Kluyveromyces lactis: one gene and its partner. The protein of the gene in region 2 purifies or fractionates together with the protein of the main gene of each other region. This does not show direct contact. Links are inferred from orthologs where the notes say so. Each region holds a gene or a part of one and is shown on either strand. Other genes may lie near its edges.

What was found.
Region 1: the proteins of CIN1 (region 2) and PAC2 purify together in Saccharomyces cerevisiae (affinity purification with mass spectrometry; 4 studies listed by BioGRID, with this or other methods). This does not show direct contact. The link is inferred for Kluyveromyces lactis from reciprocal best matches to the Saccharomyces cerevisiae genes CIN1 and PAC2.

What each region holds. Positions count from the first base shown.
Region 1 is NC_006040.1:1,169,019-1,186,701, forward strand, and holds PAC2 (Pac2p), read right to left. Parts: upstream 4,684-17,683; coding exon 3,205-4,683; downstream 1-3,204. Other genes in the region: MPH1 (3'-5' DNA helicase), read left to right, coding at 1-1,637; TMA20 (translation machinery-associated protein 20), read left to right, coding at 2,392-2,402, 2,518-3,052; RNA-binding GTPase NUG1, read right to left, coding at 5,059-6,651; SUA7 (transcription factor TFIIB), read left to right, coding at 7,583-8,656; YND1 (apyrase), read right to left, coding at 9,161-11,125; FMP52 (Fmp52p), read right to left, coding at 11,465-12,139; KLLA0_D13706g (dynactin subunit 5), read right to left, coding at 12,433-13,089; mannose-6-phosphate isomerase PMI40, read left to right, coding at 13,541-14,827; NOP16 (Nop16p), read right to left, coding at 15,030-15,749; SGN1 (Sgn1p), read left to right, coding at 16,645-17,682. UniProt on the Saccharomyces cerevisiae protein: Required for viability in the absence of the kinesin-related CIN8 mitotic motor. Seems to be involved in the assembly of alpha-tubulin.
Region 2 is NC_006042.1:2,191,858-2,207,244, reverse strand, and holds CIN1 (Cin1p), read right to left. Parts: upstream 14,007-15,387; coding exon 10,965-14,006; downstream 1-10,964. Other genes in the region: KLLA0_F23573g (uncharacterized protein), read right to left, coding at 1-381; KLLA0_F23551g (uncharacterized protein), read right to left, coding at 688-3,969; KLLA0_F23529g (uncharacterized protein), read right to left, coding at 4,470-6,299; serine/threonine protein kinase MEK1, read left to right, coding at 7,179-8,642; KLLA0_F23485g (uncharacterized protein), read left to right, coding at 9,053-10,960; KLLA0_F23441g (uncharacterized protein), read right to left, coding at 14,400-15,387.

The DNA of each region.
Region 1 (17,683 bases), on a different chromosome or scaffold from region 2:
TGGCTCCCTCTGACTCTAGAGCTATTATCTTTACGGAATTAAGAGAGTCAGCTTTAGAAATCGTGAAATCAATTGACATCTTGAACGATGGTGCTTTAAGACCGCATATTTTCATCGGGCAAGCCAAGGGGAAGGAGCATTTTGATGAAGAAACGTATATCAGAAAGAATAAACCTAAGGGAAGGACTAAAGCTGCTCGGTTGCGGCGCATAGAGGAAGAGAATCGCGTTGAGGAAGAGAAAAAGAGACAGAAGGAGCAAGCAAAACTCGAAAGAACTGGCAGAAGAACTGGTAGTTCTGAAGAAGCCCAGCTGTCTGGTATGAATCAAAAACAACAGAAAAAAGTTATTTCTGATTTCAAGAAGGGTATATATAACGTCTTAGTCTGTACTTCGATCGGTGAAGAAGGATTAGATATCGGTGAAGTTGATTTAATCATATGTTTTGATAGTACAAGTAGTCCTATTAAGAACATTCAGCGTATGGGTAGAACTGGTAGAAAAAGAGATGGTAGAATTGTTCTTTTGTTCAGTGGGAACGAGAAGTTCAAGTTCGAACAAGCGATGAACGATTATGAAAACTTACAAACTGCCATTACCCATAATGCATTGGAGTATACGAAATCAGATCGTATCTTACCACCAAACGTGCAGCCGAAATGTGAAGAGAAGTTCATCATCATTTCAAATGAAAATGATGAAGTGAATAAACTTGAGGATTCCGACGAAGTGATCAAATATGCTACACAAGCAATGCTCGGTAAATTGAAGACCAAAAAGAAGGAACCGAAACCCAAGAAAACAACCGCGAAGGCGAAAAAGAGTTCAGATAAGACTTTCTTCATGCCTGATAACGTTAAAGAAGGTTTTACTTCGGCTTCAAGTTTGTTGAATAAGTATACAATCAACGAATTCGGTGAAAAGATCAGCCTTACACCATCCGTGTCGAAAAAGGCCATCAAACCTAAGAAAGAATGGAACATGTTAGATGAAATCGAGTACGACTCTGTAGAGATATCACCAGCTAAAAGTCAAGTGGAACAGCCTTCACAACCACATAAGCCAACCACAACGCAGGGAATCTTAACACCGGATGAGACTACCAACCACATCCCATCTGCGTCACAAGGATCCTCGGTACAGACGGATTCACATACTGTTCAAGAACCAGTACTGAAAAAACTGAAACTCGCGCACCAAATCGAAGATCCTAGTACTAGTATTGAGTACTACAGCGGCTATGAGTTGGTCCCCCAATACGGCGCTACAGATTCAGCTCAAATGCTCACCATGCAAGAACAGAGACATTTCCTAAAAAAATATGTACCGGACACTGTGCACTGGAGCATTGCGCCAGACTTAGCGAAGAGTAAGACGAGAAAAATACGCCACGTACCCAAGATAGAAGAAATCCTGAATACATGCCAAGACATGCATACGAACACAAGAGAAAAGATTATCGGAATGAACAGAACCAATGCCCTAGCAAGAAGTATTGGTTACAACCGTAGCGTAGGAATGGAACTCGAAGTAATGTTGCCTTCAATTGTTGTTCCGAATGAAACTATAACAAACGCCAAAAACATGACTGATCTTCTCGAAGATGAAGACGGTCTATCAGACTTTCTATCCGATTAGTAAGGACAGGAGAAATCCTTATATACACACATCGTCTGTACTTATAATTTATATTCACTCGTCAATCAGTACAAATCTCTCGAGAAAAAAAAGCTTTAAAAATTTGAAAAGTTGCCAGTTACTTCAGATCCTTTAATCAACACTTTCAGAAATAACATATTCTACATTTAATGTTTATATAAATCTTTTTGATGTTTAAAACCCCATCCTTATGCACGGGAAATACGCATATCAGTGAGGATTCGTCCGAGATTGTGTTATTGCTGGTTGAAATTTATTTTTAACCATGACCTCCTCCTCATAACGTATTGTGTCTTTCATTTTACACATGTGTTATGCAGGGAATTTTTGGAACCTACCTTTTTTTCCTTCTTCAAGAAGCATCCTTTTCCTTCATACGAGTTGATTAGGGATTCATCCGGCGATTAGGCTAAGTCCAATTGCTGAATGATGCCTTATCCATCTCGCCTTCAAATGTATAGATATTTGTTTATAGAGAGAGATATTGTTCACCATAGTAAAGAGGAAACTTGGTACTATTCTAATCCCGGGTAATCTCTTTTTTTCGTGGTGAAAAAAAGTTTTGGCTCATCGAACTAGGATTTGGCAAATTATTAGGTGTCAGTTCACTTGGTTCATAGGTCAATCCTAGCATTAGTTGTTGTTTCAATTCGTTCTTGTCCTAACTCATTTATCAGTTGGCACTCCAAGTATCGATATTCCAGTAAAATATACATATATTAACGGTACCAAGATGTTCAGAAAGTATGTTTGGTTTAAAAGATAAACTAAGAATTGACATGCATGATAATTGCTGAAATCACACAAACTCAACTCAAATCGAATACTAACTTATTGATTATTCTTTCTTCATCCTCAGATTCACTAGAGAAGATATCCATACTCGTTCAAATGTCAAATCTTCTATACAGAGGAATTTGAAGGCAAAATTGCTCGCGCAGTATCCCAAGTTGGAAGAAGTGATCGATGAAATCATTCCGAAGAAGGCTCAAATTGAACTATATAAGTGTGAAGGTAAGATTCAGTTGTACTTGGTCAATGGGGAAGTGCTCTTCTTTCAAAACTTTGACGAATTAATTCCTTCTTTGAGATTTGTACACAAATTCCCCGAGGCGTTCCCAACGGTTCAAGTTGATAGAGGTGCCATTAAGTTTGTATTGGCAGGGTCCAACATCATGTGTCCTGGTTTGACATCTCCAGGTGCTAAGTTGCCTGAGGCTCCAGGATTCGAAAAGGATACCATTGTGGTTATCAACGCAGAGAATAAAGAAACCGCTATGGCAGTAGGGAAATTGTTGATGAGTACTGAGGAAATTAAGGAAATTAACAAGGGCCATGGTGTGGAAATGATTCATCATTTGGGTGATCCTCTTTGGACATTCTCTGCTGATTGAAGCGCATTTGTTATCACATTTACGCTCACTTGGCATTTCCCGTTTACTGTTAACGTAGTCATCAGCATTATTCAAAGTACATAATCGATATAGTCATCTTTTTTATACCATTTTTCTTTCATTGGTTCTAATGTACTTAATTGATAAAGGTCTTATTTGGACTTGATGTATATAGTACTCTCTTCTATATTATAGGTTGCTAGGGGAGAGAATTCATTGGTGAAATCGTGTTTGATGTTGTCCATGACAGAGTATTGCAGGGAAATTTCGCCTTGTAGATTAAATTTATATCGCAGAAAGGTCTTCAAATAACGCACACTGAAGCTTTTCAATAGTTTCAACTTGATAGGTTCAGAATCATAAACTATTGGAATTTCAATCAGTTCTTTTGAAAGGAAATTCGTTTGTTGGACGGTGGTTCTACTTTCTGTGTTTATGCTGTGCTTCAGTGTCAAATGATTCCACATAGCACTTTGCGTATCATAATTTATCTGAGACGATAAAACCAGCGATATGAAATAGAGTTCTGCCTCATTTCTTATATCCTCACTTATCCTAGTTCCATCCACACATTTTAAAGACTTCAATCTTGCGATGATACTATAGAAACCTTTTTGCGTATCTTCAAAACATACCGGGTTCTTCTTAATCCAAAGCGTCTCTAATTTAGGGAAAACCGTATTTATACTGTCTATTTCCTCCCAACTTGTGATCCTATTTCTATCAATCCTAAGAGTCATGATATGACTGTTGGTGTTGAGATCGTTAAGGTCTGATATTTTGTTTTCTGAAATGTCAATGCTAGTTAAGGATGATTCTTTTGAAAGAACTTTTGGGAAGCCAATGAAAAGGTTATCAGATATGTTGATTTCCTGTAATGAGGTTAAAACATCTGGAAGTTTTGATAGCAAGTTTGAAGAAATGTCTAGCGCCTTTATTTGAGGGAAAGCCTCTATTATTGTCTCTATATCTCCATTTCGGAGCTTACAACATGCCATTGATAGTTCTTTGACATTGGAAAATTCAAACTGTTCACTGGAATCCGCTTCTAACTTCGTGAAACAGTTCCCACTCAATATAACAGTCTCGACAGATGGAAATAGTCGCAGTATGCGGTACACCTCATTTATGTCAGAAAACAGATTGAAGGATAAATCAAGGTATCGCAGAGAAGAATGAGCACTATTAAACGGAATGCTCGAACAGGTTGTCTTGAAAGCTCGGAAAATGTTGTTTTCTGATAGCGTGATACTTTCCAACTTGTCAAAATCAGAGTTCATTTCATTCAAATGCTCAAATCCATATGACTCAGTCTCTTTCGACCCAAATTTGTAGGTAATATCGATTGATGAAGTATCACCGTATTTCATCAATAATGCACCTTCAAACGATGTTCTCTCTTGCCGAGATGTATCTAGTTTAGTCTCCTTCACAAATGAGCCACTGCTCTGTCCATCGGATGTTCTGAAGTATCGTACTCCGTTTAACGTTCCATCATGTTTACCTCTTTGCTTGTTGTCCCACTCTAAACCATATGCAACGATATTAGGCCATTCTGGCAATGATCCGATGTATCGTACTGTGCAAAACTCACCTCCTATATTCAATCTATCATTGACATTGATCTGCATATTTGGCCCTAGATTTAGTCACGCTGTACACATAGTGTAGCCTGGAGTTCGTATGGTAGACTCACGGATTATTTCTCTTCTTCACTCTTTTAAACATTTTGATTTTAGTAGGCATTTAAAGTATTATTTAAAGGTTTGTTACCTAAAGAAAAGAGATGACAAAAACGTCTTGCCGAAGAAGATATTAAATCATTTATATGTAGTAGTGTACAAATGTGTATTGTCTATTAGGTGCGTGGACTGAAACGGGTGTTCAAATTCACATCCTAATACATAAGCTTTTAAATCTATAGCTTTAACGATGCGAAATAAAATAAGCAATAGGATCCTTGATCGTATTTCATAGAGATGCAGAATAATTCGTTTTCTGTGTTCTCAATTACCTAAGTTGTCTTGTTCAGCTTCAATGGCGTTATCCAATGACGCGAAAAGACCATCCAAATCGAATTCCTTGGACCATTCTTGAACAATGGTCGTTTGTTCCACCTTAGCTGGTGCTGCGACAGCACCAGTACCTAGAGTTGGTTGGTTAGCTTCACCAGATGTAGCAGCATGTTCTGCAGCAGATTCCTTAGAAGCATTGGGTAGAACCCATCCTAGGATCTTACCATCTCTCCAATCGTTAAGAACGGATATACCAGCGCTGGCCAAGTTTGGAACACCGCCCTTACCTAATCTACCTCTCTTACGGGCGATATGGATCAAGAATTGTTTGGTGAAAGAGTCTGCATCGGCAGCTGGGATAGGTGGTAATTCGTACAACTTCTTGAAACTTTCAGTCATTTCTTCAGATTTAGAAAGTCTCTTCACTAATTTGAGCACAGCTGGGTAAGGATCTATGATGAATTTTGGAGGTAGAGCGTTCAACAAGGCCAACTCTGCTTCTTGTTCCACTCTACTCATCTTTTTATTTTCACTTGGGAAACAAATACCTGGAGAATCCAAGATCTTTAGCTTGTTATCTACCTTGACTTCTCTCATAGATGTAGTGACACCAGCTTGGTTACCCACTGGACATGCTTTAGAAGAACCACCACGGCGAGAGGTCAATGCGTTAATGACAGACGACTTACCGACGTTTGGATAACCGATGACACCAACAACGATGGATCTCTTCAAGTTTGAATTATTGGAGTAAGTCTTCAAAGCTTCTAACAAGCTTGAAGCAGTTGTAGCCTGAGTCAAAGTCCTGTTGAAAGATGTGGAGTTAGTGGCACCAGGAGCAGCTCTCAATGGAATAGTAGGGAACGAGGATTTCAAAAAGGTTAACCATTGTTGCAACACGTATGGTGGCACTAAATCGATCTTGTTCAAGATCAAAATTAGTCTCTTACCCTGGGATTGAAGCACGGCCTGTTCCACTCTTCTCGATCTAGTTCCTTCTGGATCTCTTGCATCTAGCACGTAAAGGATAACATCGGACGCATCCACCACAGTCTTGAATATCTTATCGTAAGCCTTTCTAGACTTTTCTAATTCAGAATCATCATCATCTGCGTCAGCGTAAAAGTCTACGTCGTATTCAGCAACCTCTAAATCCTCTTGCTCTCCATTCATTGTATCATCGATACCTTCCCCATTGTACTCCTTTGCAGCTTGCTGAGCGGATTCTAACAAAGCAGAAAGACCATTGTTGCCGTCGTTTTCATCTTCATCCATAGATTCATCGTCATCACCAACATCTTCACCTAGTTCACGAGTTCTTCTCTTAGCCTCTAACCTTTCCTGCTTTCTACGTTCTTTCTCCTCCAAATCAGTTCTTCTCTTCGCTTCAATCTCTTCGATGATCCTGTTCTTGTACGGGAAATTGGCCGGAATACCTGGATCCTTACTCTTATTGGATTTCCATGTCACATCCTTCTTAGCAAGTTTCCGCTCTTTCCTATGTTGAGCAGCAGCCTTCTTCTTGATACCCTCCTTCATACGAGTGGAAGTTCTCTTGGAAGTTCTCTTTCTTACTCTCACCATCTCTTTTGATTAATGGAAAAAGGTATATTTACTGCACTGGATTATAGATATCTTAGCTGTTCCGGTGAACTTATCACGGAAAACAGTACTGAAACATCTACTTGAACAGGTGTTCTGTAAATATCAAGTCTCATCTCATCTCATCTCATCTCATCGCAGGTTTTAACATATTTCGAAGAGCTGAAAAATTTCAAAGTAGAAAAGAATTTCTTTTTGCTGGCGGACGACAGTGGAAACACAGTGGATACTCGTCAATTACGAGGCAATCTTATGCTACTCGCAAGCCATAATTTGTGTCAATAATATTTGGGACGTATTTGGTATATCTATGAGCACTTCCAGGCAGATATTTAACATTATATATACAGTAATACCGTCAAGGGCAGTGAAACTGTCAGTACATATAAAGGCAGCCCAGTAGCCGTTGCGCAGTTTTTTTTGACACTAGCAGGGAACAAAAATCATCTCAGTAATAAGAACTGATATAACGTGATATACGATACGAAGTTGCGAGGGTGGAACTTGTTTTACCACATCTCTCATCCTCTCTACTTCCAGTCAGTGTAGTAATAACTGCGAAGTTATTACTTGTTACCCGGATCTCGTGAAAATTTTCATCAACCGTAAACAAGAGACATGCCACGGTTGTTTCTGTGGCGTTTATCACGTGATATATATTTCCGTCGAGTTTCCAGCATTTTTGCTTAGAAATTGAGAAACTAAAATGATAAGGAGCTATCCAGTTGCAACTTACACAGTCTTGTCCGTCTACTAGTTGGTTAATCGGTATTTCTTCTGTTCTTTTATAACAAAAGCAGCGCCTAAGTTTAGTTATCTTAGCGGCTCATCATTCGACTTCTTACCGTTCAGTTTCCAGCTATTTTTTTAGGCTGTTCTGAGTCATATACCGAGGCAAGAGAAAAGAGAAACTATGTCATTGCCAGCAGCAGCTTCAGCAAATGTAGCTGTCTCATCTAGAAGGAGGGGGCCAAATTTGAACATTGTTATATCGTGTCCCGAATGTAAAGTTTATCCTCCGAAAGTTGTGGAACGGTTTAGTGAAGGTGATATCGTCTGTGCATTATGTGGGTTAGTCTTATCGGATAGAATTGTGGATACCAGGTCAGAATGGCGTACTTTTAGCAATGACGATCAGAATGGAGACGATCCAAGTCGTGTTGGTGAAGCTTCAAATCCTTTGTTGGATGGAAACCATTTAACCACACGTATCGGGCAGGCCCAGGGAAGTGATGCTAGAGTTACTAGGGATTTGAATAGGGCTCAGTCGAAATCTATCGTTGACAAGAAGGATAACGAGTTGCAAGCTGCATATGCGAAGATTACTATGATGTGTGATGCTGCAGAACTGCCCAAGATTGTTAAAGATTGTGCTAAAGAAGCTTATAAATTATGCTTCGAAGAGAGAGTCTTGAAGGGGAAATCACAGGAAAGTATCATGGCTTCAGTTATTCTTGTCGGATGTCGGAGAGCAGAGGTCGGGAGATCTTTCAAGGAAATCTTATCCTTGACTAACGTGCGGAAGAAGGAAATCGGGAAGACGTTTACCATCATCAAGAACATTCTAAGAGAAAAGAATGATAGAGGGTTTGCCAATATTGATACTTCAAATATCACCACAGGACAGACAAGTGCAGAGACTTTCATCCCTAGATTTTGTTCTCATTTGGGCCTTTCAGTGCAGGTGGCTAATGCTGCAGAGTACATCGCGAAACACTCTAAGGATGTCAATGTCTTGGCTGGTAGATCTCCTATCACCATCGCAGCAGCAGCTATCTATATGGCAACTCTACTATTCAAATTGAATATCAGTCCTACAAGAATCTCTCAGACTTTACAAGTCACAGAAGGTACCGTGAAAGGTGGATACAAAGCATTATACGAACACAAAGAAAAAGTGGTCGACCCACAACTGATAGAATCTGGTGTCGTGAAATGGGACAACCTTCCTAGAGTCAGTAATGACAAAAGTGAGAAGGCTAATTGATTATTAACAATACCCATTACAAAAACCCAAAAAAAAAAGAATATTAATACTAACATTAAAAAAAAATCAAGAAAAGAAAACCATTAGTTGGGAAGAATACCCAGTTTCCAAATTTGAATTGAATATCCTATAAAATTCTCGGATCAACTATAATATACATAAATTCTTTCCCTATCTTTTTCATTGCATCTAACACATTATTTGAACTTTATAACTTTCTTTCTCAGAAACTTAATTGGTGTATGATTTATTATACCTCGAGTTATGCAATTGAATAGATTTCTGTTTCGAAACTGTGTTTCAAGTCTATAGGATAAAGTATATGGACCTACGTACACGTCGAAAGAACCAAAAACTTAAAAAAAATAAAATACTTTAATGGATTTACTCTCGTCTTCCAATGTTTAAAGCATAGTTATGGTTGGCGTTCTTTCAGTAATGCAGATCTTTTGTATATTGATTAAAGGATGTTAATTACTTTGTATTCTTATGAAAGTACATATCTTAGTCTTTATTCGTGTTCTTGAACTTCGAGAAATCGGCCATTGAAAATACTGGTCTCATCCCTTGGTTCGGTAATGAAGTGTTTTTCCTATCCCTATCTGACAGTGGATAAGAATCTTTACTATCAAGGGAATCGCCTAAATTCATCATACTTCTACTTCTGAAATTTGAGCTGTTTTCCATTTCTTGACGACCAAATCTACCCCGATTAACGGTACCTTCTTCCAATTTTCCTAGCATGTCTTCTTCTTGAGCCAGTTTGCTATATGTTTTAAGTTTGCAGAAACTTGTTTTCACTGCATTGATACCATCAAATATCTTGTGTTTGGGGAATTGTCTAGCGAATCTGAATTTGCTAATGATAAGATATATCGAACCGAGCACTAATGAAATTATGAAAATGTGAATTATTGTTTGTTTCAATGATACTCCGAAGGATGCGTTATTGACTGGCTGTTGGAGGGACAGGATGGCTCCCGGAATGAATTGCTTGCCGTCTTTCTTTTCATCCATGGGACTTGGCATTATACCAACAGTGGCGCTTGCGTCTCCGGCAACGACAAGTCCCGAAGCGTACATTAAAATTCTACCTAACGTCCAGGTTACGTCTTGGTTGTTAATTTTTTCAACACTCTGGAATGGAACATGTCTATCATCGTCGCTTTTTGAGTCGTCTGGAATGTCTATATCCATCCTAGGAAGGTCAAAGCCCTCATGTAAGACGTTCAATATCCAGTTCGCCTTGAAACAACTATCCAGTAAGAAGTCATCTGGTATATTGTTGTACACTCCATTAGCGTTGTTCTCTTTCAACGTATTCCAATCAGATTCACAGAATTCTTTGACGTTCTTCGAGAATTCATGGAAATTATACTCCCCACTCATCTTGAACACATCATTTGCTGTATACCAGTACTCTGAAATACCCACAAACTTATCTTGTTCAAAATTAATCCTTGGTGCATGTACACCATTGAAGAGACAAGGTTCTTCTAAGCAAGGTAGATTGTTCAAAAGTAACGGATACATCGACTTCATACAATGTACAAAGTCACCAGCACCTGTGATTTCGAAATCTCTATCCTTGAACTCAAACTCGGTTTTTGCTCCCTTCGGTAAACATGGATCGCTAATATATCTTGTCTTGTAGTCGTCATCATCTTCCTCATTTGCGTTTTCAGGTAACGAATTAATTAGTTGAGCCAAATACCTAGACCTTGCCCTATTGGCTCCAAACCCCAACCATGTACTCACGAATACATCCCATTCTTGGGTGTCACCATTGACATTCTTCAAATATATGGTGTGCATATACTTTTTATGCCTTGCAATTTCTTCCGGGTCACTCGGCATGAACGCTAGTTGCGTTGAAGCACCTCCCATATCCATAAAACCTGACGAAGGGTGTTGTGCATATTTAGGATCAAAGTTGTCAAAGTTCCCCAACAGATAATTGAGACTTAACCACCCATATAAACCCTCTGTTTCCCCATCAATGATCTGAATTTGTGATGAGCAATCCTTCAATAGGAAGTTCGTATCACTTCTAATCGATTTACACAGTTCTTGCAAAATCAACTCTTGTTTTCTCTGAGGAAGTAATCTCATCCCGGCGGTAGCCTGAATGAAAACTGGTGTCTCGGAAACTTTATTTGCTGGAATGACGTCCTTGGCGAATTCTAAAAGCTGTTTTATGTGCTTCGAATAAGCCTTATTTGGTTTGTCCCTGAAACTTGATAGTCCAGGAGAAATCTTATGGGTCCAGTTTTTATCCTGACGAATTTGAGGGACAGACTGCAGTAGTGCTATTTGAGAACCATCTTTATCAGCTTCCTCTTGACCTTTGGAATTCAAAACGTGTTGTGGTGAATCCCATTGATAAATATGAATTCTTGATCCTGATGAACCCGCATCAATCACAATCCCATACTGCTTATATTGCTCATCAGATCCTGTGATAATCATTGCACCTACAACCACGACAATCTGGACTTACTGAGGCCAGTCACTCTCTGTTGTCGTCGTTGTTTTGTTCATCGATACAGAAAATTTTGTGCATTAAGTTATTAAGTTGTAAACTAAAGGATCCAATGGACTTAACAAAGGAGGAAACGAGTGAAGTATCGGAAACAAAAAGACGGACTGCAAAAAACCATAGCAGAATGAGGATCAAGTAGAACAGATGACATACTAGATAGATTCATATACTAGATATATGGGAATGTGTAAATATATGAGAGAAATCGAAAGTAGGTAAATAATTAAGTGAACTACAAAGAGGGGAGAGAAATACATTCAAAAGGATCATTTTTCCTCAGCTAATTTCAAAAGTTCTGGTGAACTCACAATTTGGACCTTCTCAGTTCTTGATGAATCCAAAGCTAACTTGACACCAACTTTTCCAACTTCGTCACCGTAGATGGGATAACCTAAAGCACTTTGCAACTTGCTTCTATAGAAACATGAAGAGATCTTTGAGAAGTACTTATCGCCAAACCCTTTAAAAGTACCGTTTCTTTCACCTAACAATCCACCGGGTCTTAATATGATAGTCTTATCGAAGTCAAGAGCGATAATATCCCTTTCGGTCTCACCCTTCAATTTAAGGTATGGTAAGAAACTGTTCTCATTAGCACCCAAGGATGAAACCAAAACGCAGACTTTGTAACCTTTAGCCTTAGCAACCTTCGCTAATTCAACATTCATATCATGGTCTATCTTATACTGGTTTTCAAACCCACCTGCAGCTGCTCTTGTGGTAGCAAGACCAGTCAAAAGTACTGTTGCATCTTCGGGGATCAATTCACCCCATTTGTTCGTTTCAGAACTAACAACAGACACTACAGAATCGGTCTTCAACTCAGAAGGGAGATCTCTTCTAGTAATAGCATATACTTTGTCAAACCCACTGTTTTGACTAGCATATTTTAGAAACGAACTACCGCATAATCCGGTTGCTCCTAACACTAAAGCGTTCATCTTTATTTATCTCAGCTTAATAATTTTTCAGTTAACACCAAACAAGTGGAATGTGCGATGTGTTCGTGTAACTTATCAAGGGGGTATATGTGTCTATGCGAATTTTCTCCGACTTTTGCCACACTTGGTCTCAGTAAGTGTCTTTCCTTTTATAACTTTTTGTCCGTTGGCACTTCTTTTCATGTATAGAATGAATTAATAATGTTCTTCATTAAAACGGCGTTATCGAATTGGAAAATACAAAGAAAAGACACAGAAAGAGCACAACCGGTACCAATTCTTGGATTCCGGTGTCATAGATCTTGTTCACCGGGCATTGTCATCTGTGGCAAGTAATGCTCTTTCAATTGAACTCCTAGGTACCGTTTCTGGCACCAGTTTTCAATGACCGGTGCAAACATCGGAGGTAACGGTTTAACGACAATCGAAGTTGCAACGTCCGGATGTCTAGAGACTCGAGAATACGATGGGATCTTATATCGTTCTGGCACTACAAGATTATCATCGATTATCACCACGTCTCCTATCTCACAACATCGATTCAAGTGTGTATTCGCACCTAGTACGACCCGAGACCCTAATTTCTTGCAGTATACTTTACAATCTTGACCGATCCATACGTATGAATTCATTAAAAGGTCAGAATGAATTGCCACTTTACCTGAATTCAAATCATCCTCACTTTTCCTGTACCCGACCACAGGAGGCTTCACCCTGACTCCTGGCTCTAGAATACAGTACCTACCTACAGATATCGTATACCTGTTGTGATTCTTCCTCTTCGCTGATGCCGATGCCGATTTATCGTAATTTTCCATCAATAACACGTTGCCTTCTAGAGTACATTTGGGAGAAATCACACATTGGCCAGCAAGGACAATCTTATCGGGACCCAAGACATTAGCCTGCTTCGAGATCCTAGTACCTTGGCCAGTTTCTATCCAGTCCATTGTTCAAAACTGTTTCGGAAAATGTGTCAACTGTAGTCCACTTTTAGAAAACAAGTGAACAGATAGCAGATGCCCGGTATAAATCCATGTACAATGCAGAGCCAGTAATAACACCCACTGCTGACCAACGTATAATCGACGACTTGATATTGTAACATGCCGTTTGTGTTTACTAAAAGATAACCTAACCTGATGTTCACGTTTCTCCAAGTACTACTTACTTTTCAGTGTGATGAAAACGCCAAAAATTTCATTTTTATTTTTAGCTGGTCAAAAATCGGTATCATTTTGGTCGAAATGAACAAGTGCCAACAACAACAACAACTGCCAAGAATAACGAGACCGCTTTTGCTGTTCTTACTTTTGACCTTTTATTTATCAACCAGAAATCAGGGTTTAATTCTATCAAGTTTAACTCTGAACCTTAATATCAATATCAAAACAAGTTACCATGCCACAGCTTTTCAGGTTAGATGCTGGCTTCCAGCAGTACGATTGGGGTAAGATCGGTTCATCCTCTGCAGTTGCTCAGTTTGCTGCTCATTCAGACCCATCAGTAAAAATTGATGAACAGAAACCATATGCCGAACTATGGATGGGTACTCATCATAAGGTTCCATCTTATAATCATGATACTAAAGAATCGTTGCGTGATTTGATTGAAGCTGATCCAGTTGGAATGTTGGGTCAAGGCAACGTCGACAAGTTTGGTTCTATGAAGGAATTACCATTCTTGTTTAAAGTTTTATCCATTAAAAAAGTGTTATCTATCCAAGCCCATCCAGATAAGGCTTTAGCTAAAGTCTTACATTTCAACGATCCTGCCAATTATCCTGATGATAACCACAAACCGGAAATGGCGTTGGCAGTCACCGATTTTGAAGGTTTCTGTGGATTCAAGCCATTGGAAGAGATTGCAGATGAGTTGCAACGTATCCCAGAATTGAGAAATATCGTTGGGGATGAAGTTTCCGAAACTTTTATCAACAATATTAACCCAGAGGCAGTGAAGGATTCTGCTGATGATGCCAAGAACAAGAAACTCTTGCAACAAGTATTCAGTAAAGTTATGAACGCTTCTGATAAAGTGGTGGTAGAAAACGCACGTGCGTTGATCAAGAGAGCTCATGAATCTCCTGCTGATTTCAACAAGGACACATTGCCACAACTCTTAATAGACTTGAATGAACAGTTCCCAGATGATGTTGGTTTGTTCTGTGGTGGGTTACTTCTAAACCATTGTAACTTGAAAGCAGGTGAAGCAATCTTCTTGAGAGCGAAGGACCCACACGCGTACATTTCTGGTGACATCATCGAATGTATGGCTGCTTCTGATAACGTCGTTAGAGCAGGTTTCACACCAAAGTTCAAGGACGTTAAAAACTTGGTCGAAATGTTGACATACACTTACGATTCCGTCGAAAAACAAAAGATGTCTCCAGAAAACTTTGAAAGATCTTCTGGCCAAGGTAAATCTGTTCTATTTAATCCACCAATTGAGGAGTTTGCAGTATTGTACACCACCTTCCAGGATGGTGTCGGTACGAGACACTTTGAGGGTTTACACGGTCCTTCCATTGTGATCACCACCAAGGGTAACGGTTTCATCAAGACAGGTGATTTGAAATTGAAAGCGGAACCGGGTTTTGTCTTCTTCATCGCACCTGGAACTGAAGTCGACTTCATTGCAGACGACACCGACTTTACCACATACAGAGCATTTGTCGAACCAAATTAAATAAATGTTTTGAGAACCACAATCAAAGAAACAGTATGATATATACAAATAACTTTTATAAACAGATTTCGTAGTTTTCAATTTTGACAGTATTGTACCATTAATTGATGAAAATTCCATTGAGTGAAGGACATTGTTATCTCTAAGAGATAACATGTTTAAAGTGCTAAATAATATACAAACAATAGCGGTTGTTTTCCATCTACTCGATGTTATGCAATTCCTTCCATTTGAGTATTTTTCTCCTTAGGACATTCTCTGTTTGTTGATATACATTCAATTTCTTATCGAAGAACATCTTTTTATAGTTATCACCATGCTTCTTATATAATTGTTCTAGCCATTGGTCTTCCCGTTGACTTAGACCACGTTCCTTTTTCGCTACTGGTCTGGAAGCATAAGCCTCTAGTTTCTTCACAACCTCTGTCTTGACTTCATTCTTTTCATTTTCACGTCTTAGCTCTTCCACATCCATGTCTATATCAATGGCTTTCCTCTTACCATAGTAAACCTTCACAATATTACCGTCGTCGTCCCGTTTAATTCTAGCTTCTCCTTCTGGAATCTTAGATTCATCGTATTCCCCATCGCTATTTAGTTCTTCCAGGTTAACATCATCTTCATCCTCTTCTCCTTGACTGTCTTTTTCGTCCTCTGATTCATCATCAGAGAAAGCCGAATGCTCGTACACGTCTTTCTTGATAACTTTACTTAGATCCGCTTCTTCACCACCAGCAAATTTACCCATTTTCACTTTAAGACCAAGTTTCTTGTAGTTCTGTGCCAGAGTTAAAGAATAGTCCCAATTCTCAGCTATGATTGGGTTCCCTTTGATATTCACTTGCTTTTGCTTATCCTTATTCCTTCTTGACACTTTCTTCACCGAGGACTTGGCCATCTTTCTCTTTCTAACGGAAGCCATGCTTGATATGTTTGGTTTAATTTAATTTAGTTTAGTTTTTCTCTTGGTCTATGTATACACACCGTTCAGGTTACACGATGATAGAAGTACTTATCTTAATGGCACACTGCACCCACGGTCAACCTTTCATCATCTCATCTCATCTCATCTCATCGGTGAAAAGTTCTGTATATTCGAATTTCGAAGCTAAGGAAATTTTTCAGAGGAAACAAAAGAAATGAAAAGCTAGAGGATACTAACAAGAATCCTTTCAAATTTTCTGCTATGTTTGTAACTTGTTTTCAAAATTAAATTATTTTTCAAAGCTGGGACATGCAGAATGTCCCATTTTTGAATTTTATTTTTTTTTATTTTTTTTTTTTTTTTTTTTTATTCAGTTTCTATTGTATTGTTTTTCTTTAGGCCGTTGAAGCCGAGAAAGTCCTTTTTCCTTAAACCTTCGTCCCTAATCAAATCAGAGCTCATGAAAATCTATATGAATCTAAAAAAAAAAAAAATTTGTAGGTTAAACTCAAGTAGAGCGAATGGTCTTTTTTTTTTCCTAGTTTTTGGTTTTTTTTGTTATACTACCGCTTAGTATGGGGAAGAAAATCTGTTTATAGGTTAGAACACTGAAATACTGAAATAAAGAGAGTTTTCTTTTCCACAACTTAGTGAATAACCTGCAACTTCTTTTTTCAACAGTGATTTGTTAAAGAAGTGGAAGCAAAAGTATTCTTTTGGAACATTTTGGCTCATTAGGCTTTTTCCATTGAAGGGTATCACAATTCTCAAAGGTTTCGGAGTACGTCTTTCTTTTCTGTTTGAAGCTTGGATAACTGAATTCTAAGGTCAAAGATAGTAACTCAGTTTCGTAGTAGTGGAAAGAAATTTTGTATTATAGGGCTGATCCGTAATGACTATGACTGAGGCAGAATTGCAACAGGTTGTTGAATCTAATGGTATTCCAAATGGATCGGAGGTAGAAGCGGTGCAGAAATCTATCAAAAACTTGAGTTTGGAAAATCTTGACAACACCGAAGCAGAGAAGTCGGAATCAGAACCAATACCAGAATCGAACTCACAAGAAGAATCCCAAGATTCAGAGGCTTCAGAAAATGGAGAACAAGACGAATCTAATGTTAAAACGAATTCCGGGAAAAAAGATCATCATCATCAATCGAGGGCAGAAAGATTAGAGAAACAAATTGAACTTGACTCTCGCTCGATCTTTGTCGGTAATATTACCACCGAAGCCACAGCTGAAACACTTGAAGAGCATTTCAAAGATTGTGGTGAGGTTGTTAGGGTCACCATTCTTTACAATAAACTGACTGGTGCTCCTAAAGGCTACGCCTATATTGAGTTCGAAAGTTCGGATTCTATTCCTAAGGCTTTGGAATTGAAGGATTCTGAATTGCATGGAGAAACCATCAATGTGGCTAAAAAGAGAACCAACGTTCCTGGATATAATAACAACAAAAATTACTACCCAAGAAAAGAATGGGTTTACCCGGGCTGGCAAGGAAACGTTATGCGTCAATGGTATTATCCATACGCCGCACCAGGTTATCAAAATTACAAACCAAACGGCATGCCTATTCCACCTCCTCCTCAAAATACATTCTATCCTCAATACCCATATGTGCCACGTCCTACTCATAATTCTGGTCTTAAAATGGGTGGCTATCCAAGAGGCAACTACAGAGGTAATTACAGAGGTAACAATTTCAGAGGCAACTACAACGGTAGAAGAGGTAATAACCACAATGGTAACTATAGAGGGCCAAGAAATCAACAGAATGGAAATTTCAACCACGCGGATGCTGATTCTGATGCTAACGCTACCCCAGAAGAAAAGTCCAGCAATTCCAGCAGTGAAGGTACTACGGAGAATGAAGAGACCCAGCCTTTAGGAGAAGCAGAAACTCCGGTGACTCCATCTAAAGATTAGA
Region 2 (15,387 bases):
CATAGGTATTTGTAAATTTTCCAGACATCGCTCATCGCCATTAGTGATGCCAATTACGAATATTGGCACATCTCTCAGGCAATGCATCACAAGTTGCAGGAAATTATAATGCGGTTTGAAAAATACTGCCAAAATATGTTCACCTTTGTAATTATTCATCGTGCAGCGTTCTGTTTTGTAATATTCTTTGAACTTTTCAGATCTCTCGTTTCCCAATCTGATCTCTCTATATATTACTTGGTAAAAAGTCGATTCTGGTTTAATTTCAAACAGCACATTATCTTCGTATTTTACTCTTTTAACTGGCTCTGGTGGAGGAGATGGCAACTGAATATACGCTCTCTTGGTTGCTATGTTCAGTGAAGCATGTCCGATTGGCATGTGGTTGATGGCTACGTCACCTATATTCAGTTGATAAGTTCAAATAGTACCACTCTCCACAGATTTTTCAAATATATATTAAATGGGAAAGCCTTGAATTTTTCATGTCAACATGATCGGTGGATGTTGAATAAACAAAAACGAAGATATTATATGACAGTACCGCAGTCCTACAAGTAGAATATCAGTAGGAGGTCAATCGCCATAAATGTGATGTTTCTAAGTTTTTTATTATGTACATAAATTAGTTGTATATTTATAACTTTTATGATAGTATTGAAGAAGAGAGGGCGTCGTTGGGGTGAACTATTTTGGTTGAAGTGGTTTCCAAGAATCCAGGGACATTGCTAGTTCAGGTTTCTTTGAAGGAACATGAGGTTTTGATTTCTTTGCAGATGATTCGGCAGTATCTATGGGTACTGGAGGTGATGCTACAGGCTCAGGAGTGGATCCCTTTGGAGTTAATATGACATCAGAGAAACCAGGTGGAGGGTTAGGCTTTCTGGAAGGTGGAGGTGGTGGAACCAGGGTGATTTTTCGATCCGAAGCTGACGTGGATATTGATGAGGGGGACGGCGTTCGAACAGGAGAATCCAATGTTATGACTGGTTTCTTGTGTGGAGGGGGTGGAGGCACTCTTCTTACGGCTTCCGGTTCTTTTGTTAGTTGAGCACCATTTCTTACGGTATCGCCCCTTCTGGCAGTTGGTCCAACTGGTGGACTAGTCAAAGATAGACTACTCATTGAGGATGAAGATCTTGAAGAAGGTGATAGTGGTTTTGGCGGCATCGCCCGGCTTGTGCTCACTCCGGCAGATTCGAAATGTAGATCCAGATCTAACAGACTCATTTCTGTCGAAATCACCGGTTTAGGCTCCTCCTTCGCGTCAACTAGCTCAAGATCAAGCAATGCACTATTGATAGAACCGGAATCTTGAGGATGTGATTGTTTGTAGTCCATATATAGTTTCTTGGTCATTTGTATCTTTGATTCTTCGTCAATAAATTTGACCTTGGCTTTGTAAGCTGCATAAACAGGTTTGTGATCACTCAAATTCAATTTGGCATCACTATACGCCATTGGTTGTAAGTTTTCACCTTTGTATAAGATTCTATCCGTCCATGATGGAATTCTAGCTTTTTCGGAAGTATCGTATCTGTCTGTACCATGATCGTACTTGTACGTTGGTCTAAACTGAATTGATGGTTCCATGAAACCTTTGAAGACAGATTCTGAAGCCATTTCCGATGTCAGCTGGTCATGCTCCAGCAATTTATCCAAATCAGCATTATCAGGTAATGAGAGGATACTCCTTACCTTTTCGTTTGGCAACTCAATCCTATAATTTAAATCACCGAGCCAGAAAGTGGAATTATGGTGATCAATTCTTTTTGACCTGCTGAAACTAATTCCCTTGGTTATACTCTCATAATCACTTCTACGTTCCTCTACATTATTCACGCCAGCAGATAAATGAGCATTGATGAAGCAGAAAGATGTACTTCCATAGTCGAATCTAATGGCAACAGCACCTTTGTTACCGGTCATTCCTCCTAGACCTGTTTTCTTTGAAGAACCCTCTACTCTTTTTACATTTCCAACTTTGTCAGCTTTGACAAAGAATAATATAATCAAAGATGACATTTGCTCGGCTCTCAACATGATATAATTTTCATGTTTGTTCAAGCAACTATGAACTAAGTCTTTCCAAAATTGTGACTTTGAAGTATCAACGTTCAAAATCGAAGACGCATTCAATTCAATTACTTCTTGCAAACCCAGTACAACAATGTCAGGAAGATATCTTTTGCCAATAGGGTATAGCCATTCTGATAAATCTACAGACTTGGTGAGTCCATTTACGTTGAATGTGCCACATAAGATCTTAATGTTACTAGTGGTAGTAAACTGTGCTTCTTGTTTTCTAAGTTCTTCATTAACGTAGTCATTGATCGGATCGAATAATTCGACAGAATGCTGATGTGGTAGACGGCCCAACAATGCGTCGATGTTCATCTGTTTATTTTTGTCCATAAAGTTATTGATGTACATTCTACTGACGGACTTTGTTGCATCAGAGAGAGCACCAGCAAATGACATTTTACCTTTTCTTGAAAATGATGATTTTAATGCATTCGTTCCTGTATAAATTTGAGAAACTGCATCACCGTGATCAGCCCAGATATTATTGTGTTTTTGATACCAATCATATTCTTCGATTAATGGAAGTTTTGGTTTGATTAATTGGAAATCTTCTAAAAACAAGATAAATGTATATCTTGAAATAAACTGCTGAATTAGATTGGTTCTGTCTAAGCAATCTAAACAGTTTGTTCTGAAAACACCATTTTGCTCAGACAATTGTTTTTTCTCTTTAACATCGTATGAGAAATAACCATTTTCCAGAATAGAGCGCTCTAATGTAGGCATGATTTTTGATGCAGCAGCAAATCCTTCTTCTTTGGTCTCTTTGTGAAAGTCAAACTCAGTTAAAAAAATTTCAGAGTTTAATTTGAGGCTTTTTGAACGCTCGAAATGCTCTCTGTATCGTCTCGTTAGTTCTATTTCGGAAGATTTCGTTGATAATAAATTTACTACATGAACAGGGCCGTATTTTTGTATTAATCTCTTAAAGTGCTCATCGAAGGTCGATTGCGTTGCCTCGACAGATCTGGTAATTGTAACCTTTGGATTGATTAGAGCTGTATCTTGTTCCCAGAAAACAGGTACACTTCCTCTAATTTCTGTCACAGCAAAGCAGTATTCCTCTGAATACATAATAAATTCAGTTTCACAAAAGTTTGCTACATTTGCCTCGTCATCAATACCTCTAACATTAAATCTTGTTCCCGCTCTTTTCCAAGATTGTTTTGATATCATAGTTAAATTGACGGGCATTCTGCCGATATATGATGGGAAAGTTTCAGCAAAACCTCTGATCACTGTCGTTAAGAATCCTTCATCATCCATTATTTGCTTGGCTTTATCGTCCAAATGGTTTCTAAATGTGATGATTTCTTGCATTAAAAAGGAATTCCACATGTACTCTTCTTGGTAATTATCGAAGGATAACGAATGCTGGTTGAGACCTCTAGACTGTAGTAAAGATGTTAGATCGAAATCGGAACTATAATAGAATGATCCGTTCGATAGTAATTTCTTCAAATCATGGCACGGGTGCTGTTGCTGTTGATTGGAAGAGCTTGCATATTCTTCTTCTGGTATGATTGGAAATCCGTTAGAATCGAACTCAACGAAATCCCATCGATTACTATCTAGACAGAAGAAATCAACTCCATAGATTTTGTTGACTGTTTCTCCCGGGATTGGGCTGGCAACCTCAGATTTTCCAGTAATTGTACCTATGAAAATACTTCCTTCCAACTCAATTAACCCAATGAAGCCATGGATTTCAAGCTTGCTCAATTTTTCAAATTTCTGCTTCTTCAAATAGCTCTTGGGAACCATCTCAATGGTACACACCGGATGTGTCTTATCCTTCGGTGGGACATATTTCAACAACAATGCAAAGCTTTCAGAAGCGAGTGCTATTACTCTCTCGGGACCTTGCTGTACTAAAATCTGCATTTCAACCCAAAGTGCAATGTAGGTGGTCCTGTTAGTGATACAAGAGTAAATCTGGTGTTTCTACTTGCAGTTTTATTGTCTCTATCATTTCGTCTTGTGATCTTTAATCAAATCAATATTTCTATTATGATCAGCTTTTTTTTTTTGACTTTTCTTTACTATTACCTCGACCCCTTTTACTATGAGAAGATCAGTTGAAAGGCATGTTGAATGTACGCAATGAAGAGCCACATCAATTTTTCCAACCTTGAATATATACCATGATGTCAATGTTATATACGGTGAGTGTGGTGATATTCCTGATATTAATTGAATATAAATTATATAATATAAAGACAATTCAAAGTCTTCGGTGTAACACTGATAAATGAATTGTCAAGAAGAGAAATACAAAATGATGGTAAACGAAGTCGCAAATACAACGAATAAATAAGTAGTATTTTACCTCGGTAGATACAGTGCAAGTTTGTGGAACTTTTGAAAAGTATAAACTCCGCTGACTATGCAGATGCTGAGGCTGAGTCACGATGAGCTGGTATTGTTAGTTCGCCCTTTTTGATCAAGTTATTAACAGCAGAAAGGATGGCTTTGGCAGAAGCCTCTCCAACATCTTCAGACATACCAATACCCCATTGGTAGGCCTTTTCGTTGTCAATTTCTCTTCTGTAAGCAATATGCACGTAAGAAGCAGCCTTTGTTGAAGAACCAGATCCTAAGGAATGTTCGGTGTAGTTGGCAACACCAAGTTTAACACCGAGCAAATTTGACAACGCATCGATTAGAGAGGAAATTGGACCGTTTCCGAGACCTTCAATGCCGACGACTTCGTTGTCGATCTGGACTTGACCAACAAAACTCTTCTGATCACCCTGTACTTTAGAAACATTGTATTCTAACAAAGAAATGTTGGAGGCGCTTCCATCGAGGTTGTATAACGACTTGAAGGTGCTGACAATTTCGTTTGCCTTTAGTTCCTTACCTAGAGCATCAGCCTTTTCTTGCACTTGAGTGGAAAATTCAATTTGCAAGTTTCTTGGCAAATCTAGGCCCAAAGATCTCAAGACAACCCAAGCGGCACCCCCCTTACCAGATTGAGAGTTGACACGGATGACAGCTTCGTAGTCTCTACCGATATCCTTTGGATCCAATGGCAAGTATGGAATTTTCCATAGAGTATCACCTTGACTACGTCTCTTTTCTTGAAGATTGAAACCCTTTTTGATAGCATCTTGATGAGAACCACTGAAAGCACAAACGACCAAGTCACCACCATATGGGGCTCTTGGTGAAACTGCAATCTTGTTACATCTTTCCACTACTTCAATGACTGAGTTAATATCAGATAAGTCTAATTCTGGAGAAACACCTTGAGTGTACATGTTCAATGCGACAGTAACCAAGTCAACGTTACCAGTACGTTCACCATTACCGAATAAACAACCTTCGACACGGTCAGCACCAGCCAAAATACCTAGTTCAGAAGCAGCAACACCACAGCCACGGTCGTTGTGCGCATGTGTGGAGATACAGACCTTTTCACGTTCAGATATGTGAGTTGAAAAGTATTCAATTTGATCAGCGTAAATGTTTGGAGTAGCGACTTCGACGGTAGCAGGTAGGTTGAAAATGATTGGGTTTTCCTCAGTTGGTTCCCAAGCAGCCTTTACGGCTTCACAGATCTCAACAGCAAATTCTACAGGTGTATCACTGAAACATTCTGGAGAGAACTGGTAAGTCCATTGTGTAGCACTTTGCGAAGGATCATCCTTGGTCAATTTCCTAACTAACTTGGTGGCTTCCACAGCTTTAGCAATAGCTTCTTCTTGGGACATGTTGAACACAATGTCACGGAACATGTCGGAGGTGGCCAAATACGTATGGATGGTGGCTTTCTTAGCACCATGCAAAGCTTCAACTGTTCTTCTAATCAAATGTTCTCTCGATTGAACAAGACATTGAATGGAAACATCTTCTGGGGCGTTTTCAACAGCGTATCTTGTGAAGTCGAAATCTGTTTGCGACGCAGATGGGAATGAGACCTCAATTTCTTTGAAACCAATCTCAATCAACTTATGGAAATATTCCTTCTTCTGCTCGACAGACATAGGATCTGGTAAAGATTGATTCCCGTCTCTTAGATCGGTAGAAAGCCACCTAGGAGCCTTGGTGATGGTCTTCGAAGGCCATTGTCTATTTTCCAAGTTGATCTGTGGGTATGGTCTATATTTCGTCGATGGATCTTTTAGCATATTCTTGTACGCTAGTTTCACTGGAGGAATAGCTTTTTTCCCAGCCTGTGCTAAACGCACAACGGTGTTCCTGAATATCATACTCAATATGGGGTATGGTTGCCTGGTCGTATCACCTTTGGAACAGTAGCTTAATGTCTCCCCTAAATAGCTATCCTATGAATCAACTGCACAAACTCCGTGTCCTAAAATCTCACCAGACAAAGACTGTTCTGGTGCATATATATATATATAAGACATGGCTCATCACATCACGTCTTTTTGCCGAAATTTTTCACTCGATTCAGAATTTTTCAGTTTTTCAATATTTCAGCATCGCCAGAAAAAAGTATCGCCAGAACTTGACTGTGAGTAATTCCCATAATAGTTTTTCATGGCTTTTTCTTTTTCTTTCTTTACTGTTTTGCAGGGAAAAAAGCTTCTTCGAGGGCCGTGATGAATGGAGTACGTAGAGTTCGTGAGTACTTTTTCGAAATACAGAGGGGAAGTTCAGGCAAACATTGCTGACTGGAACGTTCCCAGTGACAATTAATGAAGGGTTATGAGAGGGTTAGAAGTTGTTAGCGAGCAACATGGTGGTGTTTGAGCGCCTGTGCTTGCATGTAGAGGATAGAGGTTGGAGAGGACGTTGAACGATATGGGAAGTGGGGTTACTTGCGGTATGTGTTTCTTTTGAATTGTGCTCAAGAGGATCTTAGAGTCACGTGGTGCATATTGTGATTATGTCATCGGATTGCAATTTTGTTTCACGTGGGCCATTCTTCTTTGCTTGCCGGGTAATGAATTGGTTGTTTGTTTTCTTAATATTCGCTTTTTTGTCGTTTCATTTTAGCCGCGCACATCTGGCATCTATATAAACATACAGCATGGCAGTCTCAGATCCTTAAGAGGAGCCTCATTAGCCACTTCTCCCTCTGTTGGAATAGTTCCCACTATATTGGATAGACGGAGGCTAAAAAAATGGACAAAGTTTTGGGAGTATTGGAAGTCGATTTGGAGAGCGAGCTGGACTCCTCGCCGCAGTTCATCGTAAATCATTTCCAAATTGAAATTAATAAGGTATTGAAACTTGGACGGAACACTGAGGAGTGTATTTACTCTGTTGAACATCCTTCTGTTTCGAACATTCACTGTGTGCTATGGGGCATCAGATTTGATCCCGAGAGCGTTCCACTTTGCTACATAAAGGATATGTCATTGAATGGGACGATGGTCAATGAGCAGGTCTTATCCAGAGACGTCCCATACTTGTTATCCAACCAAGACGTGATTCAATTACCAAACGGGGCAAAATTTAAGTTCTCTGCAGTGAAAAGCGAAACGATGTCACAGTTTATGACTGGGTTGAGAATTAAATCGGAATGGGATCGATGGAAAATTGTGCCGCGTATAGTGGGCTCAGGAACTTTTGGACATGTCTTGGTAGCAGAAAAAGTGGACCACAATATGAAAAGACAAGTTGCTAAAAAGACTGTTTCATATGCTGTAAAAGTTATCAACACTGCAAAGACTAGGATGGTGAAAGAAGCCACCATTCTTGAAAAATTGAATCATCCAAATATTATTCGTATTCATCAATCTTGTGTTGATGCCCTTGGCAATGTATACATTTTTCAGGATCTTATATCGGGAGGTGATCTCTTCTCTTATTTGGCAAAAGGCGATTGCTTAGTTCCGATTTCTGAAACAGAATCGTTGATAATCATATATCAGATTCTCTTAGCTTTGAAGTTCTTACATTCAAACGGCATCGTTCACAGGGATTTGAAGTTGGACAATATCCTCTTGCATACCCCAGAACCATGTACTAAGGTTGTTCTTGCAGATTTTGGTATTGCAAAAGAATTATCTCAAAATACAAAAGAAAGAATGCATACTGTGGTCGGTACTCCGGAATATTGTGCACCAGAAGTGGGATTCAAAGCCGATCGTAATATTTATCGATCGTTCAGTAGAACTGCTACCTTAGATCCAGACAACAACGGCTATGATTCCAAGTGCGATATTTGGTCCCTCGGCGTCATAACACACATCATGCTCACTGGGATTTCCCCTTTTTATGGTGATGGATCTGAAGCAAGCATCATCAAAAATGTTAGAACTGGAAAACTAAATTTTACTGCTAGACAATGGATTGCTATCACAGATAGTGCCAAGAGTTTTGTTAAGAAATGTCTACAAGTTTCTACTTTTAATAGATGTGATGTGGAAGAAGCTTTACATCAGGTTTGGGTGGAAAAACATACTAGTCAATTGGAAAGAATATACAAAAAGAAAGTTTTACAGTTAAGCTCTGATTGCATAAAAATTGATGAGAACATTGATACCTTTGCTGTTGTAAAACATAAACTACCGAAAAGTGTCAAACTTTCCCCCGAAAAAAACCCTAACAAACGATTGAAACTTTTTTCAAACAATATTTAATGTGACGCTGCTATTAAAAAGTTGGTCAGCTTTGAATCTGTTTGTTTATATATACATAAAGTGCCATTGGTGAAGATACTCTCTTTGTTACACGCTCTTTTCGTGTCATAGTGTTTTGTTTCTTGATTTATCCGTCCAATATTTTCTATGCTCATCGCTTTCATTTTTTTTTGTTTTTCTCTCATATATCAAATACAGTTGGCAATACAAAAAAAATTAACTTAAGACGACATCCAAAGAATTAAGGCACTTTCCAGTTATGCTTTTTGTATTGCACTGAGCCGCTCTTTGTTTCTTTTCACTGCCATCTTCACTAACATTCGACTTATTTTTTACACAATTGTAAGCCCTCAGCCAGCAAAACATTACTGTTTACCAAATTTGTTGTGTGAGGTTTGTGCATTTGCGTCATGAATAAGGTAAAATCAATAAGCAGTGCGATCTCTAAACAAAAAGTTGCTTCTTCTTCATACGATCAATCATATCTCTCTTTGTTAAGAGAAACCTTGGATGAAGAGTTATTGCGAGATCGTGGGTCCAGTAAGCTACTTAATGATTCCACAAGAGCTTTTTTGAACTCTACATGGTATAAAGACTCGGGAAAGAATGGCGGTGCTCGAAAGGACATACTATGGTTACCAGCTGTTTCTTCGTATATGGATGTGCTACTTAGAGAGCGTAAATTTAAACAGGCTTTCCATATGTTGAGCCTCCTAAAAACAAATAAAATTGAATGGATCAAACCCCCAGGCGAGACGTTGTATAAAGACGAAGCAGGTATTCCGGAAGAGCTCTACTTTGTTTTCAATAAGATGATGATGTCCATGACGAGTAATCGTCTAAATAATCAAGAACTCACTGCTATTTCAAAATACAACCTTCATTTGTTACAAAAATACTGTACTAAAATTAATACCATATCTCCTTCCATATCCTTTCTACTCCGGACTCTAACGATGATTACTAAGGGCAGATCACTATTGATGATTAAAGCGGCCTTGGAAATAGTTCTGACAAGTTTTCCAAACATGGCTGCAGTTCAGTGGCATACCGTAAAACATATGACAATGCTAAGATTTTATCAAGAAACCGACCAACGTACCAAACTGATAGCTTATTACAGGAACCACATCCAAAACACTGAATTGGTACCTTTGTTCATTGTTCAATATGAACTCGAGCGCTTTGTTGAGCGGTTTCTCATATCTGGGGATGAAACTACAGCTAATCTTGGACTAAAAAAGTACTCGGATATGGGGTTTAAATTAAGACCAGACACCATTACAGATTTCAGAGCATTTATTGATCGAAATATGCTAAAACAAACTAACAAACTTCTTTTGGAATTATATCCTGACTCTTATGCACCGTTGCATAACACCCTCTCCCTTAACGATGTCGAAGATTCCAATATGGAATTGGTATTGGCTATATTAAACAATTCTAATGTTGACCTTTCACAGTATGAGATGAATTTGGACTTTTTAATCTCCAAAATACCACCTCTTCAACAGGGCAGGGATTATTACTCATTTTTCAAAAGTGTGGTAAAACCGAATTTCAATCAAAAGATGAAATGTGACATTTTTGGGTTATTTATAAAACATGCCAGTGGTCAGGGTTTTCAATGTTTTATTGAATTTTTGGAAAGCGCTTTTTCTGACCGGGAGATGGTGCTCCTTTTCGTAGCGAATGCAACTAATAAGGCTCGTTATTCGAACTTCCATGCATTTTTTCCTGCAATGTCGAGCAATAAACCGACGCATAAAACTGCCAGTTTATTGCTCTTCAACTTCTTACAGAAAAAGATTGCCGATTCTGTGGAATTAATGCCATTCGACTACTCTGTGCTTTTGAACAATTCCCTTAAAGGTCATACACACGAAGAATTTTACTACTATTACTACCATTTTTTGAAGCAGCATTGTAAAAGTTTTCTTAAAAGTGATGGTTCCACTTACGAATTTTGTTTTCCGACAAACATTAGCATGTTTTTATCTACTGCTGCAGATAAATTAGGGCATTCCGTTATTAATATTCAGTCTACGCTTATAAAATTCTTTGAGGAAAATGGGCTTAATGCTGAACTTTCTCATGAAGTTATGCGAACAGCGATGGTAGAAAATTTTGTCCCTGAATGCTCTGTTGAGCGTATTGAGGAACTTGAAATGAGGTACCTGGCCAAGAACGGGTCTTCTGCCAGAAACGTCTATAATATCAGACAGGATAAAAATGATAGAGTTCGTTTAGAGAATCTTCTTCGTATTATCGAAGAAACGTGTACAGATTCCAATAATGCTGCACCTGTCCGGAAGTAATCTTCTAGATTAAAAGATCAGTGTTTTTTAGAGCAGAGAACTGCTGCGGAGTTGTGGAGTTTTCTTGTATAAGTTCAATTTTTTTATTCCTGTCAGCACATATGTAGATATGAGTTAGAGATTCCAAAGCAACGTTTTGAATACTGGAAAATTCGGTTCTTTGTTTGGCTGCGGCTAATTGTTTTAATAGTATTTTGATGAAGGTATTCGCAAATTGTGCTGAGTTTTTCCTGACATTAAGTATCTGATGGCAGACAAGAAGGGTTAATAGCCTGAAAGCATAACTGGTGACAGATACTGACCTTGCAGCAAGTTGAAGATTGTACACACGGGCAAAAAAACCGCTATAGTTAAAATCTTCTTCGAGAGTTATTCCAGATTCTAGCATCCGACACCAGCAGTTAAGAAATGTGATAGTTGACTTTATGATCTCTCTCGGTATGGTTCCCAGTATATTGTTACGCATTTTGGATGCTTTCAGCTCCTCGAATTCTTTGGCGGATGGAACAATCCGAGCAAACTCATTCAATTGCAATAATCGGTCAGCCAATTCAAGGCCTTGGTAATAAGTAAGAAGATCGTCGATTGCGGAAGAGATTAGTCTATCGGTCGAATGAATTGCCCCAGCCGAAAAAAAGTACCCTTTCCAGAATTCGTTGTTCCCCCTATAGTGTAGATTATAAAGTCGGATTGCATTAAAATTGCAAGGAGGGTTCTCAAGGGAAACATGTCGAAGAGTACATAACGCTTCGAAGCATTTTAGTCTGATTTCCGTAGAGGGCTCTCCCGTTAATCTTAATAATGAGTTTTCAATGAATGGGAGACAAGTCAACTTTCTAAATAACATGCTATGTTTTAGAATCAAGTTCACTGTGGAAAGCCTAGTCAAGCGGCCAACATCTCCTTTGTCTGTAGTGGTATAGTCGTCCAAGAATAATACAACATCTTGAAGGAATATCTGAAGATGTTCATCAGGAGAATATCTAGAGATAGCCTGAGAAAGAGAATCAATCATTTTTCCCTTATACTCACAAGACATTTTGGAAACCGAATCATAAAACAAGGAAATAAATTGGTTCTGTGACAAAAACGGTGCAGCGCAGCAGATGAGAGGTTGTTGAAGTCTGAATAACTGATAGAATATAGCCCAAAATGAGCATTCTGTGGATGAATCATCAAAAGGTTCGCTATCTGCGGAAATAAAAGATACTAGTTGATTCAATAGTTTCGAAATATCGTCATAATTTGAATGATTCATCTGAGCATGTCTTGCAATTAGAAAAATCCGTTCTACCTGCTGTTTTGAGAGTAAAGAACCATCCAAAACTAATGAACAAATACCTCCCAACTCAGCTAATGCCTGAAAGGAAATCTGGTCATTCCAAACTTTGGGGATTTTCTGTTGGTGCAAAATTGCAAGAACGTCTGAACTTTTCAGGAGACTTTCAGTGTCAATTTTGCATTGTAGATAAACACTTCTTGCACATATGTCAGGGTCCTGATATTTCAATCCCTTCACAGATATTTCATTGATATACTTTGAAACCATATTAGAAAGGGATTTTTCATTGATTTGGGATGTCATCTCTGAAAGTAGGGAAGTGGCCTTTTCAACGAATTGATAATCGTAGTTCTGTCCAACGCTATAAAGAACTAGCCACTGTACCATTTCATCAATATAACTTTCATATCTTCCATTGAACAACTCAAAAAGAGTTAGTGCATTCGACAGCTGACCAAAGTGCATCTCTGCAAGTCGAAGAACCGTCACATTATCTAGTAGGACGTTTCCTTGCCTTCCTAGACATTCTTGAAGAGCTGCCATAGCAGATTTTCTTATCAATGGTGAATGGTCAAAGTTTGCTGTAAATAATAGGTTGAGGAACATATTTTTGAGAGACTGAAGCTCAATATTCGTATAACTTCTGAATGCACTCCAGCAAAAAAAATTAGCTGCATCTCTTATTTGATGTCCTTGCGTGCTCATCATTCTCTTCTGTTGAAATTTGCTAATTACTGGAAGTATACTCTGCGTGAATTTTCTGATATGAGATATCGTTAAAAGTCGGCTCCTGCAAAATTCTGCTTGAATCAGTAAAAATGTATGAAGTCTGTCTGAGTCCATCGATTCGTTTGAATTTGTTTTTAACAATGCTTCAGTATCATTAACACAGTCAGTTATTATCATTTCACTGCTTTCTTCATCAATATTAGAGACAAAGAGGACTATTTTCGAAACAGATTTAGCCAATTTGAATCGTAGGTCAGTGAAAGAAAGATTGATTGTGGAGGTCATCCAGAACAAAATATCATAAATACAAGAGTAGGTCTCATCTCTGTTTGCTAGAACAGTAACAAAATGCGGAAGTAATTGCAACGTATACAGAGCATCAATTTCTTTATCAAATGAAGTGAGAGATGTGATATATTGCGTAAACTCTATCAATTGTTCAATGCTGAAGGGATATGTTGTTTTGTGCTTCAAAGTTTTTAACATGTAGCTGAGATCTATGGGGTCTACTTGTGAAATTTTTTCAGGTAGTTCAATCAATGCGTAGTTTTTTGACCAAAGCTCAGCCTTAATGTTAGAAATTAAGGGTCTCATAAGAGCCATATGATTGAACTTCGATACAATCAAAAGGATTTCAGTATCATTATCAAATTTGAAAGGAGAGATTACGAGCATAGCGAGCCATGTAATTAGTAAATACTGAGAATGCCAATCTTGAGAAGACTTCAATAGCGCTAAAACTTTCGACAGATCATAAATCTTGATGGGAATCTGTACCCGTATCCTTTTGTTTTTGAATATCTTTGAATACTCGTAAAAGAGCCGTGCAATCTTGAGCCGATTATCAGTGTTGGTAGTAAAATATGTCGAAAGCAATTCATTAATTAATGAAGGCAAAGCCTTCTCGAGTATGAGAGGATCAACCTCGAAGAGTTGAAGCACTCCTATTGTCTCTTCGAAATTGGTGAAATCGGACATGCCATGTTGCAGCTTTCGTATAAGGACGTCTTTAGAGAGTCGAGCTGTTGATGTCATACTATTCGAGTGTTATGCTTGGTTGTGGTGGGAGAAGGGATTCTTGAGGTCTTTTGCAAGCTTTCAATAAAAGGGTTTATCTTTTCCTAGCAATTGTGTTTAAAACTCTTCAAAAATCAGAAGTGAACAAGAATATGGCATAAAGATACTGTAATGAAGATCTCTTTAATGCAATAAAGTGTTTGGAATGACAATCGATATTGGTAGTATTGAGATTATCTATCATGTCTATAAATTGAGATGATATTGAATTTACTTTTTTCCTTTTCATTGTTGTCAAATCAAGATTATAAAATCCAATGTCAATTTAAAATATAAAATCTATGAAGGAAAGCGATGACATAGAAGATGCATAAATTATCAATGTTAGTCAAATTTTACATAAAAGCAATCTCAAATTAACAACGAATCTAAGCGACTGTTCACTTCATCGCGTTTGGTATTATTTGCCTCTTCCTCCAAAACTCCGTAAATGATGTCTTTGATAATGGTAGCACCTTTTTCATAGTCACTAGGTTCGTTGAAAACCTGAACAGAAAATCTAATAAACAAGTGACTGTTGTTAATTTGGAATGGCGCATAACATTTATACTCTGCGAGCATGATCTTATCACATTTACTCTTAAAGTTTAGGAAATAAATTCTATCAGTACTCATCTTTTCAATGAGATGTTGACATTCCGATTTAATCGGTAATTCTATACAGAATAATCCGGGTGAACGTAAAGAATTAGTCGAGTTTTCAAGTAGAACAGATCCTTGGCCAAAAACCTCCAAAATCTTTGGAATAGCAGCTTCTTGCAAATCCCATTGATATTCTCGAATCTTTTCTTCACCGCCGCATATGTCCTTACGGAATTTCAATGCTTCCTCCACAGCAAAATAGGACGAGTACGAAACGGTGCCGATAAAGGCAAATTTGTTAACAAGGATGTTAGAATTATGTCCATCGTCACCCTCAACATATTGGCATGCAGGAGCTGTATAGTTATGAGATATGGGGATGGTCTGAATCATAACATGATGTTTTGGATCAACATATAACAACGCGACAGATTTAGGGCAAGAAAGCCATTTGTGTAGGTTAGTCGTGAGAAAGTCCGGTTTCAATTCATTAACAAATGCAAAATCAACTTGACCTGCAGCATGTGCACCATCGACCAGAGACCAAGTCCCATATTTACGACACAATTGGATTAGTTCTTTATAAGGTAATGTCGCGCCAGGTTGAGAAGTAATCATATCAAAGAGGCACACCTTATATTCTTTAGTTTGCAAACGTTTTTCGAAATCTTGCACAATCACATCATTGCCGCATGGGTAGTTGATATCGATAACATCGTACTGTAATCCGAAGTAATCGTGCAAAAATTTCACAGTG